Tamandua tetradactyla: one gene and its partners. Each later gene encodes a partner of the first gene's protein in a complex. Links are inferred from orthologs where the notes say so. Each region holds a gene or a part of one and is shown in the gene's direction. Other genes may lie near its edges.

Region 1 (3,747 bases):
TCACTCATTAATATTAGTTCAAACTGGTGAGCCCATACAGTTTTTGTCCTTTTGTTTCTGGCTAATTTCACTTAGCATAATATCCTCAAGGTTCATCCACAGCTACATGCTTCATGATTTTATTCTGTTTTACAGCTGTGTAATACTCTATAGTATGATTACACCACACCTTGTTTAGCCACTCGACTGTTGACCGACATTTGGGCTGCTTTCATCCGTTGGCAATCGTAAATAATACTGCTATAAACATCAATGTACAAATGTCCATTTGTGTCATTGCCTTCAGTTCCTCTGAATAGATACCTAGCAATGGGATTGCTGGATCATATGGCCATCTCATACTTAGCTTCCTGAGGAACTGCCAAACTGCCTTACAGAGCGGTTGTACCATTTTACACTCCCACCAACAGTGGATAAGTTTGCCTCTTTCTCCACATCCTCTCCAGCACTTGTCATTTTCTGTTTCCTTCCTAAGAAAAAAAAGAAAAAAGCTATCGTCCCCGTTTTGTTGACATGACGCTGAGGTCCAGAGAGGGTAAAACGTTATGAAAGGTCACACTGAAAACTAGAGACCCAGCTTCCGGATTCCCAACCCCCATCCCGTGCCCTTCAACTATTCTTCAGAACAGTCTCCTTCCTTGCAGGTGTCCTAGGCCACGCCAACCCGGGGAAGCCCCAGGAAGTCCACGGTTTAACCTCAGGTTCCTGGATTTCCGAACGCCCCCTAAAGGCGTCTGCAAACCTCCCACTTCGCTCCACCACACTCATGACCAGCAGGGGTCACTGCAGTCATCGCAACAGCACAGCCTGGCTCTACTCCTGGTGCTCACTTCCCCGAGACACTTCCGGCACGTGCGGAACTTTGGTGCAGCCGGATGAGCAGCGTGGGGATGCAAGCGCGCGCGGCGGCAGTAGTTGCTTCCGGCCGCGTCGGTGGACTGAATTGAGATCTATCGCGGAGGGGAAGATGGAGACGATACTGGAGCAGCAGCGGCGATACCATGAGGAGAAGGAACGGCTCATGGACGTCATGGCTAAAGAGATGCTTACTAAGAAGTCCACGGTGAGTGGGGCCAGAGCAGGGGCTACATCTGAGGTTAAGCTCCTAGCCCAGTGTTTAGCCTCCGAGAGCTTTCTTTGACCCCCAGACCCTCTCGCGCCCCTCCCCCTGCCCCGGCGCGGGGCTCCCTCTCCAAGCTCCGGCTTTGGTAACCGCCTGCATGGGCCTAGCGTCTTAGAGGCCTCTGTAGTTCTGCAACTCAGACCTGGGCGGGTAAATTTAGCCCTGGGGCGGCTTTTCCGATTCCAGGACGGAAACTAACGGCGTCTGTGTTTAATTTCAGCTCCGGGACCAGATTAATTCTGACCACCGCACACGAGCCATGCAGGATGTGAGTGCTCCGCTGTCCGGTTTTCTTTGAGTCGGGAGGGCACCGGGAATGGTGGGAAGAGAGGATGCGGGGTGCGGGATCTCACTTTGAGCCCTGGCCAGAGGTAGCCGGATTGACTGGTTGAGGGTTGCTTGGTTGGAGTAGATGTCCACTCAACTCCCTAACCCGAAGATACTGAACTGTCTTTATTTTCTTCTCTGAGAAGGAAACCTAGTCATTTTTTCATTATTAAGAAAGACACTACTTATAGCGTCCTGTGTCTCTTGAATGTGCAAATAGTAGCTATGGGGAGTCAGCGATTCTAGCAAAGAGGATATTATCCAATCCCTCCAAAAGAGAAAGCTCAGTATGTTTTCCTCTCAGACTATTGTGTTCTAAATTTGCTACCAAACTGCATTTGCCCAGTAATTATTGAAGCTGGCTGATGAGTAAATAGAAGTTTATAATGCTGTGCTATTTTGTGTATCTTTGAAATCTGTCTAGAAAGGAATAAAAGGCAATCAGAGCTTCTCATTTGTAGGAGGTGATCAGTGTTTCAGGCCCCCAGGCCTTAATCCAAATTCTCAAATCTAGTTTTGGGTGTATGTGTGTAAATCGTTTAACAGCAAAACCTGACCTAAACAAGATGAGAGACTTGTTATAGCCTTTATTTATCCCACTTAATAAATGTGCAGAAATTTCATCACAGAGCTATTAATGTGCCTATTAATATCTGTTAACATTCCAGGTTGCTTTGGGATGTTACATAATTTGTAGTCTCTTCCTGAACTCTTTAAAAAAATCCGAATTCTGAAACAGATTTGATCCCCCAAATTTTGGAGACGTTATTGTGACTCTATACCATACCTAGTTAATATGTTTTGGATCTAGAAAAAAAGCTGTATTGTTTAGTTAACCTGTGTGCTCATTCAAGCTTGTTGAAATACTGAAAATCTTTGAGGGCCTCAGGTGGAAACTTTTGCTTAGCCAAAGGGGATAAATCTTTTATAGGAAAAGTTAGGCATCTGTAAGATGTAGAGAGGGAGCTGCTACCCCTCAAATCCTATCGTTTAAGTAATCTTCAGATCAGCCTGTTTTAAAAACTAACCAAAACCTGGGCTACTGATAGGTACTAGAAAATACCAGAACGTTTAACATTATACCTCCTGAGGTTTCCCTGGGCTGTAACTAGAGAACCCTTGTTGATTGCTTAACTCTACAGTTGTACAAGTTACTTCGTTTTAATGGGTTTGTATTTGCCTTTCAGAGGTATATGGAGGTCAGCGGGAACCTGAGGGATTTGTATGACGATAAGGATGGGTAAGTGATAGTCATAGCCAATCCAGGAGTTAGTACTTCTGAGGAACTGAGGTTAAAAGACTGACTTTGTGCTCTATGCCCTTTCGATTTTTCCTGAAATTGCAGGTTACGAAAGGAGGAGCTCAATGCCATTTCAGGACCCAATGAATTTGCTGAATTCTACAACAGACTTAAGCAAATAAAGGAATTCCACCGAAAGCACCCAAATGAGGTATAATAGCCAAAATAGGGTATTTTCTCCAGACCTCACCATAAAGCATACTAAAGGAAAGGTTAAAGAAAATGGAGGCGTGATACTCAGATGTCCCTTAAGAAAAAACTTGCCATTTAGCTGCAAGGAACGTAGCTAGTGGACAGCCTGCAACTATAGTGCTTTCAAGATCCTTATCAGCTTTTAAGTCATGCTCTTTCTGGGAGCTCCCAGCCAGCGATTGAATACAGCTGGGAATCTAGGTCCTGGCCATTTCTTCCCAACGTGGGAGTAATCTTTACTCCAGAGTTCCCTACTTGGTTAGTCAAGATTGTGTCTGATCTGTCATGGTATAGACTTACCCTGCCCAATCTTACTTTATACTCCTTTTTATCTTTCATGGGCATTACCCTCAATAAACGCCTATGTTCCTAATTCTGTCTCAAGATCCCCCTCTTAGAGGACCCAGCTAACACAAAGATGATTTATTCCCAATGTCCATTACACCTTTAGGATCCAGCCCAGAGGCCAACTTTCATGAAATACCTTTTCCACTCTATGTCTCCCAAATTAGTGTTCCTTTTCCTTATGATCCTATTGTATTCTGTTTTCTGTCCATAGTGATTACCACTTTCTGGTTTGTAACAATGTCCACCCACTATATTGAAAAATCATAGGGAGCAGGGATTGTGCTGTCATTAGAACCTGCTAAGCACCTTGCACACTCCCCAAAGGAATATCTGGAGTGTGTGTGGGGGGGTGAGGTGTGGCACAGCTACAGAAAAGATAGGGATGAATCAGAAATTATTCTGAGCTTTCATGACTGTATAACTGGGAAGATGGTTGTTTCTTTGGTAGAGATAAGGA
Region 2 (3,747 bases), on another chromosome or scaffold:
CTGGGATGACATGCCACAGCCAGCCTGGGCCTTCCTGACACTGCTGGGCTCTCCACATTAACTCTCAAGATATGAACAGAACACAAAGGCTTCCTTTGGGGCACTGGTAACACTGGACGCTAGCACCACGGCCCTGATCGTGGGCCTTCATCCGCCAGGAAGGCCAGCTCCAACGTCCCCACCTCCAGCAGTTTTCCTGCCCACACCCAACCCCAACCCTAAACACACTAGGCTGGGTATTTCTGTACCAGACTCCATCTGTCCCTGCACATGTGAGACCCTCAAGAAGATGGCCTGGGGAGAATCCTCTCAGGAGGCAGCACAAACCCAAACACTGAGGGAGATAACCACCCAAGCGCCCCAAGAGGGCAATGCTTAACCCTAAAGAATGACAAGGTCCAAATGGAGTTCTGGGAGGCTGCTACGAAGTCTCCAGGATGGTTGGGTGCATGCAATCAGCCCCAGTGACCGCAGCCTGGGGCCCTCGGGAGAGAGCAAAGTCTGGGGGGAGGCCCAGCCTGAAGGGAGAGGCTGCGCCTCAGAGAGCCGACCTTGAGAAAAAGGACTTTGTGTCGGGACAGAGGTGGTGTCAGGCTGGGGAGGGGATGGTGGGGAGTCCTTGTCCCCTGGCCCCACTCACTGATGGAGAAGACGCTGGGCTCTTCCTTGGCGACTCTGCAGTGCTCCAATAACAGGGCTCCGATGGGCTGGAGGAGACAGAGGAGCAGATGCGGAGAGCAGGCCAGGACCTGGGCCCCCACTTCACAGGAGGCTTGTACCTCCCCTGACCTCGGCTCCCTCCCCAGCCGAGCGGCAGGTTCCAGGTGGAAAGGATGCAGACAGATGGTTTTCGACCAGCAAACCACGGCACCCCTGGGTCAGACGATCTGGGGGAGTGAAGAGGCCGAGGGGCGAGAGACTGTACCCCGCGCACCCTTTCTGCTCCCGCCTTCCTGGGACCTCCCCCTTTCCGCGGACGGCGCCCCTACCTCGGCTTCGTCCGTCCGGAAATAGAAGAGGAAATTTACCACTAGCTTCACCAGCCGTCGCTTCACCACTGTGGGCACAGAGCGGGCTCAGGGCGGGCGGCCCAGGGGCCAGCCCCGCGCCCAGCCATCCAGTTAATCGGGTCCCCCGAAATGCGGAAAGCCGAACGCCCCAGTTTCTCGGGCCCCGCTCACCGCTGCCCTTCTTGGGGCCCCGCATGCCCAGCTCGGCCGCCATTTCGGCCGGCTGCCGCGACAGCGCCTGCAGCTCCTTCTCGTTGTAGCGCATGGCGCCGCGGAAGGGAGAACGCTGGACCCCGGTCCGTCGCCTGCGGCCAGCGCCAAAAAGGTCTCAACGCACAGTACCGGAAGTGCTGCCACAGCCAGTGCGCCTGCGCACTCCCTGGCCGGCCACTCTGTCGATTACCTGAGTGTAGCGATGGGGTCCGCAGGCGAGGGGTGCATAGGGGACTTGGACGGTCGTTACAAGGTCACAGAATAAACTGGACCTGGGGTGAAAACAGAATCAGGTCCACCCCACGATTGCTAGCATCCTTCACTAAAGCGGAGAGTACGGGCGGGAAGGACTCTCAGCGGGCTCTGCCCGGAGGGCTGACCCCCACGCGACGCGGAGCAAATCCGGAGGGCGTTGAAAGTTGTGCGCACGCGCACTGCGGCTGCCAGCCAGGCCTCCCAGCCCCGCCCTCTTCCCGCGCTTTCCGAGCGGTTCGCCCGAGCCGCCGGGCGAGCCGGGCATGCGCACGTGGCAGGACCCGCCCCACTTGCCCCCGGAAATGCTTTCTTAGCCTACGACGCGCGCGCGGGTGAGGTCGTGGCGACCACTGAAAGCGGGGACGGCTTGTGCTCCCTCGGACGCTGGTGAGGAGCGGCGTGGATGATGGTGGTGGGCTCTGGGTCCTGGGCTTCCTTGTAGGGTTCCGCGTGTGGGAGGGGGCATCTGCGACGGGCCGCGCGGCTGGAGGCCGCGAGCTGAGGAGCGAGCGGCCTAGCGGTCTTCCTCGGGCTCACTGTGCGGGCCTGAGGCCGGGTCCCGCCCCCAGGAGGGGCGAGGCCAACACGCCCCAGACCCTGTCCCCTCCCGGCGGGGCCGCGGTGTGGCGAGCCCTCTGCTGAGACAAAACTTGCCTTTTAGCTGTCGGACTTTGGGACCTTGGGGAGGGGGTGTCGCTTCGCGTCTGGGAACCTCAGTTTCCGTCTCTGTAAGACGAGGGGTGTGGGCGATCACTGCCGCTACTAAATTAAATCAGGTCGTGTCAGGGAGAGCGTGGAATACCTTCCGAGGGCACCCAGGAAATGTTAGCGGGCCCGTTTTGCATATGAGCCCAGAGGTTACCTGATCGCCCAGGTAGTCATTGTTTGATGGCCCGTGACCGCCGATCTGTGGTCCCTGAGGGCAGGTGGAAAACCTGGGAGGAACTCTGCGGAAAAGTGTGCTAGATTTAAGGAAATTACCGTATTTTCATCGGGCACTATAACCCCTACTCCTTCATGCAGTCTCAGGCCTCAGAGGCCGCTTTTCATGTTTTTAAAGCCGTTCTCCCTGTTCTCTGTCTTGGTAAATAAATTAACTTCTTTCTGGACTTACCAGTTTTAGTCACAGTCTGCTGCTTTTCCACCGTAGTTGGTGAGAACTGACTTCTCCCACGCGCTGCAACATCTGCGTCCAAACCTTGCGATTACATTGCAACTTTTAGTCAAACCCTTAGTTGTATTTTCTAGTACTATAAATGTGTGTGGTTCGTCGCTAATGCGTTGTAAGGCGTGCCTTCTTTCGTCTACCATTACTTTTTCATCAATCCTTGTTTTCCTGTTTGCCTGGTTTTCTTTTTTTTAAAATTTATTTATTAATTTAAAAATAAAATAAAACAACATACATAATCAGTAATTCACAATATCATCACTTAGTTGCATATTCATTTCTTAGAACATTTGCATTAATTCAGAAAAAGAACTAAAAAGACAATAGAAAAAGAAATAAAACGAACACAGGAAAGAAAATAAAAAAGATTATACCTACCATACCCCTTACCCCTTGCTTTCGTTGATCACTAGCATTTAAACTAAATTTATTTTAGCATTTATTCCCCCTATTATTTATTTTTATTCCATATGTTCTACTCCTTTGTTGACAAGGTAGATAAAAGGAACATCAGACACAAGGTTTTCACAATCACACAGTCCCATTGTGACAGCTGTATCATTATTTAATCATCCTCAAGAAGCATGGCTACTGGAACACAGCTCTACATTTTCAGGCAGTTCCCTCCAGCCTCTCCATTACATCTTGAATAACAAGATGATATCTACTTGATGCATAAGAATAACCTCCAGGATAACCTCTCCAATCTGTTTGGAATCTCTCAGCCATTGACACTTTGTCTCATTTCCCTCTTCCCCCTTTTGGTGGAGAAGGTTTTCTCAATCCCTTGATGCTAAATCTGAGCTCGTTCTAGGGTTTTTCTTAATCCCTTGATGCTGAGTCTCCAGTCATTCCAAGATCTCTGTCCCACGTTGCCAGGAAGGTCCACACCCCTGGGAGTCACGTCCCACATAGAGAGGGTTAGGGTGGTGAGACTGCTCGTTGTGTTGGCTGGAGAAAGGGGCCACATCTGAGCAACAAAAGAGACTCTCTTGGGGGTGACTCTTAGGCCTAAATTTTAAGTAGGCTTGAGCTATCCTTTGCGGGGTTAAGTTTCATGTGAACAAACCCCAAGACTGGGGGCTCTGCCTATAGCTTTGG
Region 3 (3,747 bases), on another chromosome or scaffold:
GGGGTGGAGGGGGCCGATAAATGAGACAACTGAACTAGGGCTCTCTCTTTCTCACCCAACACGCGCGAGCGCGCGGACGGACACACACACACACACACACACACACACACAAACACACACACACACAAACACACACACACAGTGAGCCTGGCTGTCAGTGAGGGTGAGGAGCTAGTTTCAGCAAAGAGCCCCTGCCCATCCCTGCCTCACGGCGCAGAGGCCACTTGGGAGAGGGCTGGCGAGGCTTAAGGAAGAAAAGTCCCTGAGTTCATTTTCGAGACGAAGAATTTGCAACTCTTGACGCCAGAAAGATTGTTCCATTTAGTCTTTTTCATTTACTGAGCGCCATTTCAGTGCCAGGTACTGCGACACAGTAAATAGATCAGCTCTCTGCTCACATTCCTGGAGATGGGGTGGAGGTGAGGAGAAAGGGCAGAATACAGACTTGAGTAGTGGAGGTTTGAAAGTGCTTTGGGAGCTCCAAAGGAAAGGGAAGTGGGAGAAGACTTAGCGGAGCGGACAACATCTGAGTCGACCTGGAAGGTGGAAAGGGGGGCTGTAGTGTCGCCCTCCCCGCCCCCAGGTCGGCAGCTGGAGCTCGGCCCGGTCGGGCCTGCTCCTCTCCCGGCTCCGATCCCCTTTCAGTCCATTCATCCATGCCTGGGCCGTGGGCGGGCGGGCAGACAATCAGACCCTGTGTTATCGCAGGCATCGGCTTCCACCTCCGGCTTAGCGGCCGTAACGCGTGGCCGCATTGGTGATGAATCTCTCGGGACTGCCCGATCAAGGGAGTCGGGTCGGAAGGCTCAGCAGGGAGACGTTGAAAGCACTCCCTCGGGCCAGGAGGCGCTCCCACCGCAGCACCACCCACGCTTCGGCCCGGGTGTTTCCCAGCGGCGTCGCTGGCTCTCATATATAGTGGCTTGAGTACTACAACTCCCAGAAGGCTTCGCGACTCGCTATGTAAGGACCATTGGAGAAAGGGCGCGTCTACGGGGACGCAATTGGGGGCGGGCCTCGATCAGAAAGTACTCCCAACCGCGAGAGGACGTAGCGTATGGCGTTGCCGGAAGTTCCGGGAATTGGGCCCGGAGGCTGGCTCGAGCTTCCGGATTGGTTGCGCGCCTTCGTGCGGCTAAGATGGCGGCCGACCATCCCGAACCTCCCAAAGGGGACTTGCAGCTGCCGCCGCCGCCACCCCCAGGGCACTATGGCGCTTGGGCTGCCCAAGAGCTTCAGGCGAAGCTGGCAGAGATCGGAGCTCCGATCCAGGGTGAGGAGCGTTGGAAGCCAAAAGGGACTCGCGTGGAACTACGAGGAAGCGGAGCTTGGTTACCCGGGAGACCTGGGGACCGCGGGACAAGGCTGGTCTCTGGGCCTGGACCGGGTCAGACTGGCCTGCTCCGGCCTGACCTGCCTCACTGATCCTATAACTTTGCCCTGCAGGGAGTCGCGAGGAGCTGGTGGAGCGATTGCAGAGTTACACCCGCCAGGTAAGTGCTCGCCGCGGAATGGCAGGATAGGCCGTTTCTCGAGAAGGACTTTAAGTCCATTCATGGCTCGATTTTCGTTCTTTATGCACCTTAGGACATCGGGGGCTTGCTCTCTTTGCCTCTCTTGCCTTTTCCTGCTCTGTCTTAATCGTTTCTGTGCATGTGGGTCTTCCCCATTGCCCAGCCTGAGTTCTGGCAGACAAACACTGGATAAATAGTGTTCAGTGAATGGGACGGAACGTTTTTTACCGTAACAGTTCCTCTTGGACTCACCTACATTGACCTCCTTTTCGCTTTTGCAGACTGGCATAGTGCTGAATCGGTCGGTTCTAAGAGGGGAAGATGGGGATAAAACTGCGCCCCCTCCCATGTCAGCACAGGTGAGGAGGTTGTTTCGTGTTATAAGGTCCTTCGCAGGCTCCGCCCTCCTCTCGAATGTGGTGTACTGGGTTTGCAGCTATCAGATTGGGCAGGGAGATATTGTGAGGACATACTGGGAGCTCTTCATTTCTTTCTTGGTCCTGATATTTGCCTCCTTTCTCAATGTCAGCTCCTCCAAATTCTACCTGTAGTTCAGGACTCAGCGTAAATACCTGGAAGCCTGACATGATGCTCCCTTCCTGGAAGTAATTATCCTTTTCCATGCCCTCCAAGGGGATAATTCCCATGTCATTCAGTGAGACATTTAAAGCCAACTCTCTGAATTGATTGCATACTCCCTGCAATTATTAGGGTTTGCTGGGTGCCCTGGTACACTGTAAATTTAATTCCTTGTAACATCTATGCTCCTTCTGATTCAGGTTTTTTTCTGATTTTGCTTCTTTTTCTCTAAAGCAGTGGCTCTGACCTGGGGTCCATTGACCTCTGTGTGGCATGAGGAGTCCCTAGATAGCCTTTAGAAGTATCCCTGAATCTCCTGAAATTATGCAAGATCTGCACTCATGATCATTTTGTGGGGAGAGAGTTGATAGCTTTCTTCAGTTAATGGTCCATAGTTAATAGTCTCTTTTCTTGATATTGCTATGGTGCATTCTCTTCTTGAATGAAAGAATCCCAGTACCTGTTTCATAATACGTCCCCAAAACATATTTGCAGAATAAATAGATAAATGCTTTCTACTTTATGGTTGTATTTTCTCCACAGCTCTCTGGGATTCCCATGCCACCTCCACCCATGGGGCTTCCTCCTCTGCAGCCTCCTCCGCCACCCCCACCACCTCCACCAGGCCTTGGCCTTGGTTTTCCTATGGGAGTTGGACCCCACCCACCAAGCTTGGGGCCCCCACCTCCCCTCCGTGTGGGTGAGCCTGTGGCACTTTCAGAGGAGGAACGGCTGAAGCTGGCACAACAGCAGGCAGCGTTGCTGATGCAGCAAGAGGAGCGTGCCAAGCAGGTAGGGTAGATGGAAGCCTATGCTTAGGCCTCACCAGGCCCCTGAAGGGGGAGCAGAGCCCCAGAGAGAGCTGGATCCTGGGGCTGAAGCTTTCAGGAAGCTCTGGACCAAGGACTAGAACATAGGCCTTAGGCTGGTAGAGCACCCTAGGAAGCCGAGTTGTGGCAGACTGGCCTGCGGGGTATCGGTGCTGGTATGAGCTTGTTTTCTTTTTTAAGCAGGGAGATCATTCACTGAAGGAACATGAGCTCTTGGAGCAGCAGAAGCGGGTAATGCCCCTCCCCCTAACCTCTGACCTCATGGTCCAGTCAGTTGACTGTTATTTTCTGCTTACTGCCCAAAATGAGATGCCCCATTCAAGTTTTCTTTGGAAGCTCCCTCATCCCCAACTATGTTCCATTATTTCCTTAGTAATTCCAGTCATTCTGTAGTCCAGGGGTTGTCAAATTATGGCCTGTGCCTATTTTTGTACAGCCTGTAAATTGAGAATTTTTAAAATATATTTCAAGGGCTGTAAAAACAAACATGCAAAAAGGAAAACCAAGAACATGCAACAGAATCCGTTTGTGGCCTATAAAAGCCACAGTCCAGCTCTTTACAGAAAAAGTTTGCTAGCCCCTGCGAGGTCTTAAATGATGTCACTTTAGGTTCCTTGGAGAGAAATTTTGGCTCATTTATCCGTTTTTATAGGTGTTAGACTGTCTAATATGAGGAATATAAGTTTGGGGATGATGAGTCAGATGTTATCCCTAGAGGTGCATTGTTTTAATTATCTAATGGGTTACCTGGGAGTATTTAAAAAACAGCATTAAGAGTAACAGATGAGAAAATACTTATGAAGTACTATCTTTGTACCCAGATT

What was found.
Region 2: SF3A3 (region 1) and SF3A2 share a complex: the UniProt entries of both Homo sapiens proteins name them as parts of the SF3A subcomplex of the 17S U2 SnRNP complex. The link is inferred for Tamandua tetradactyla from reciprocal best matches to the Homo sapiens genes SF3A3 and SF3A2.
Region 3: SF3A3 (region 1) and SF3B2 share a complex: the UniProt entries of both Homo sapiens proteins name them as parts of the 17S U2 SnRNP complex. The link is inferred for Tamandua tetradactyla from reciprocal best matches to the Homo sapiens genes SF3A3 and SF3B2.

What each region holds. Positions count from the first base shown.
Region 1 is NC_135328.1:187,345,654-187,349,400, forward strand, and holds the start of SF3A3 (splicing factor 3A subunit 3), read left to right. Parts: upstream 1-888; 5' UTR 889-967; coding exon 968-1,063; intron 1,064-1,343; coding exon 1,344-1,391; intron 1,392-2,637; coding exon 2,638-2,690; intron 2,691-2,795; coding exon 2,796-2,901; intron 2,902-3,747. UniProt on the Homo sapiens protein: Component of the 17S U2 SnRNP complex of the spliceosome, a large ribonucleoprotein complex that removes introns from transcribed pre-mRNAs.
Region 2 is NC_135337.1:80,640,407-80,644,153, reverse strand, and holds the start of SF3A2 (splicing factor 3A subunit 2), read left to right. Parts: upstream 1-1,375; 5' UTR 1,376-1,865; intron 1,866-3,747. Other genes in the region: PLEKHJ1 (pleckstrin homology domain-containing family J member 1), read right to left, coding at 641-707, 990-1,057, 1,182-1,275. UniProt on the Homo sapiens protein: Component of the 17S U2 SnRNP complex of the spliceosome, a large ribonucleoprotein complex that removes introns from transcribed pre-mRNAs.
Region 3 is NC_135335.1:8,380,987-8,384,733, reverse strand, and holds the start of SF3B2 (splicing factor 3B subunit 2), read left to right. Parts: upstream 1-1,098; 5' UTR 1,099-1,140; coding exon 1,141-1,273; intron 1,274-1,446; coding exon 1,447-1,493; intron 1,494-1,795; coding exon 1,796-1,873; intron 1,874-2,636; coding exon 2,637-2,885; intron 2,886-3,103; coding exon 3,104-3,154; intron 3,155-3,747. UniProt on the Homo sapiens protein: Component of the 17S U2 SnRNP complex of the spliceosome, a large ribonucleoprotein complex that removes introns from transcribed pre-mRNAs.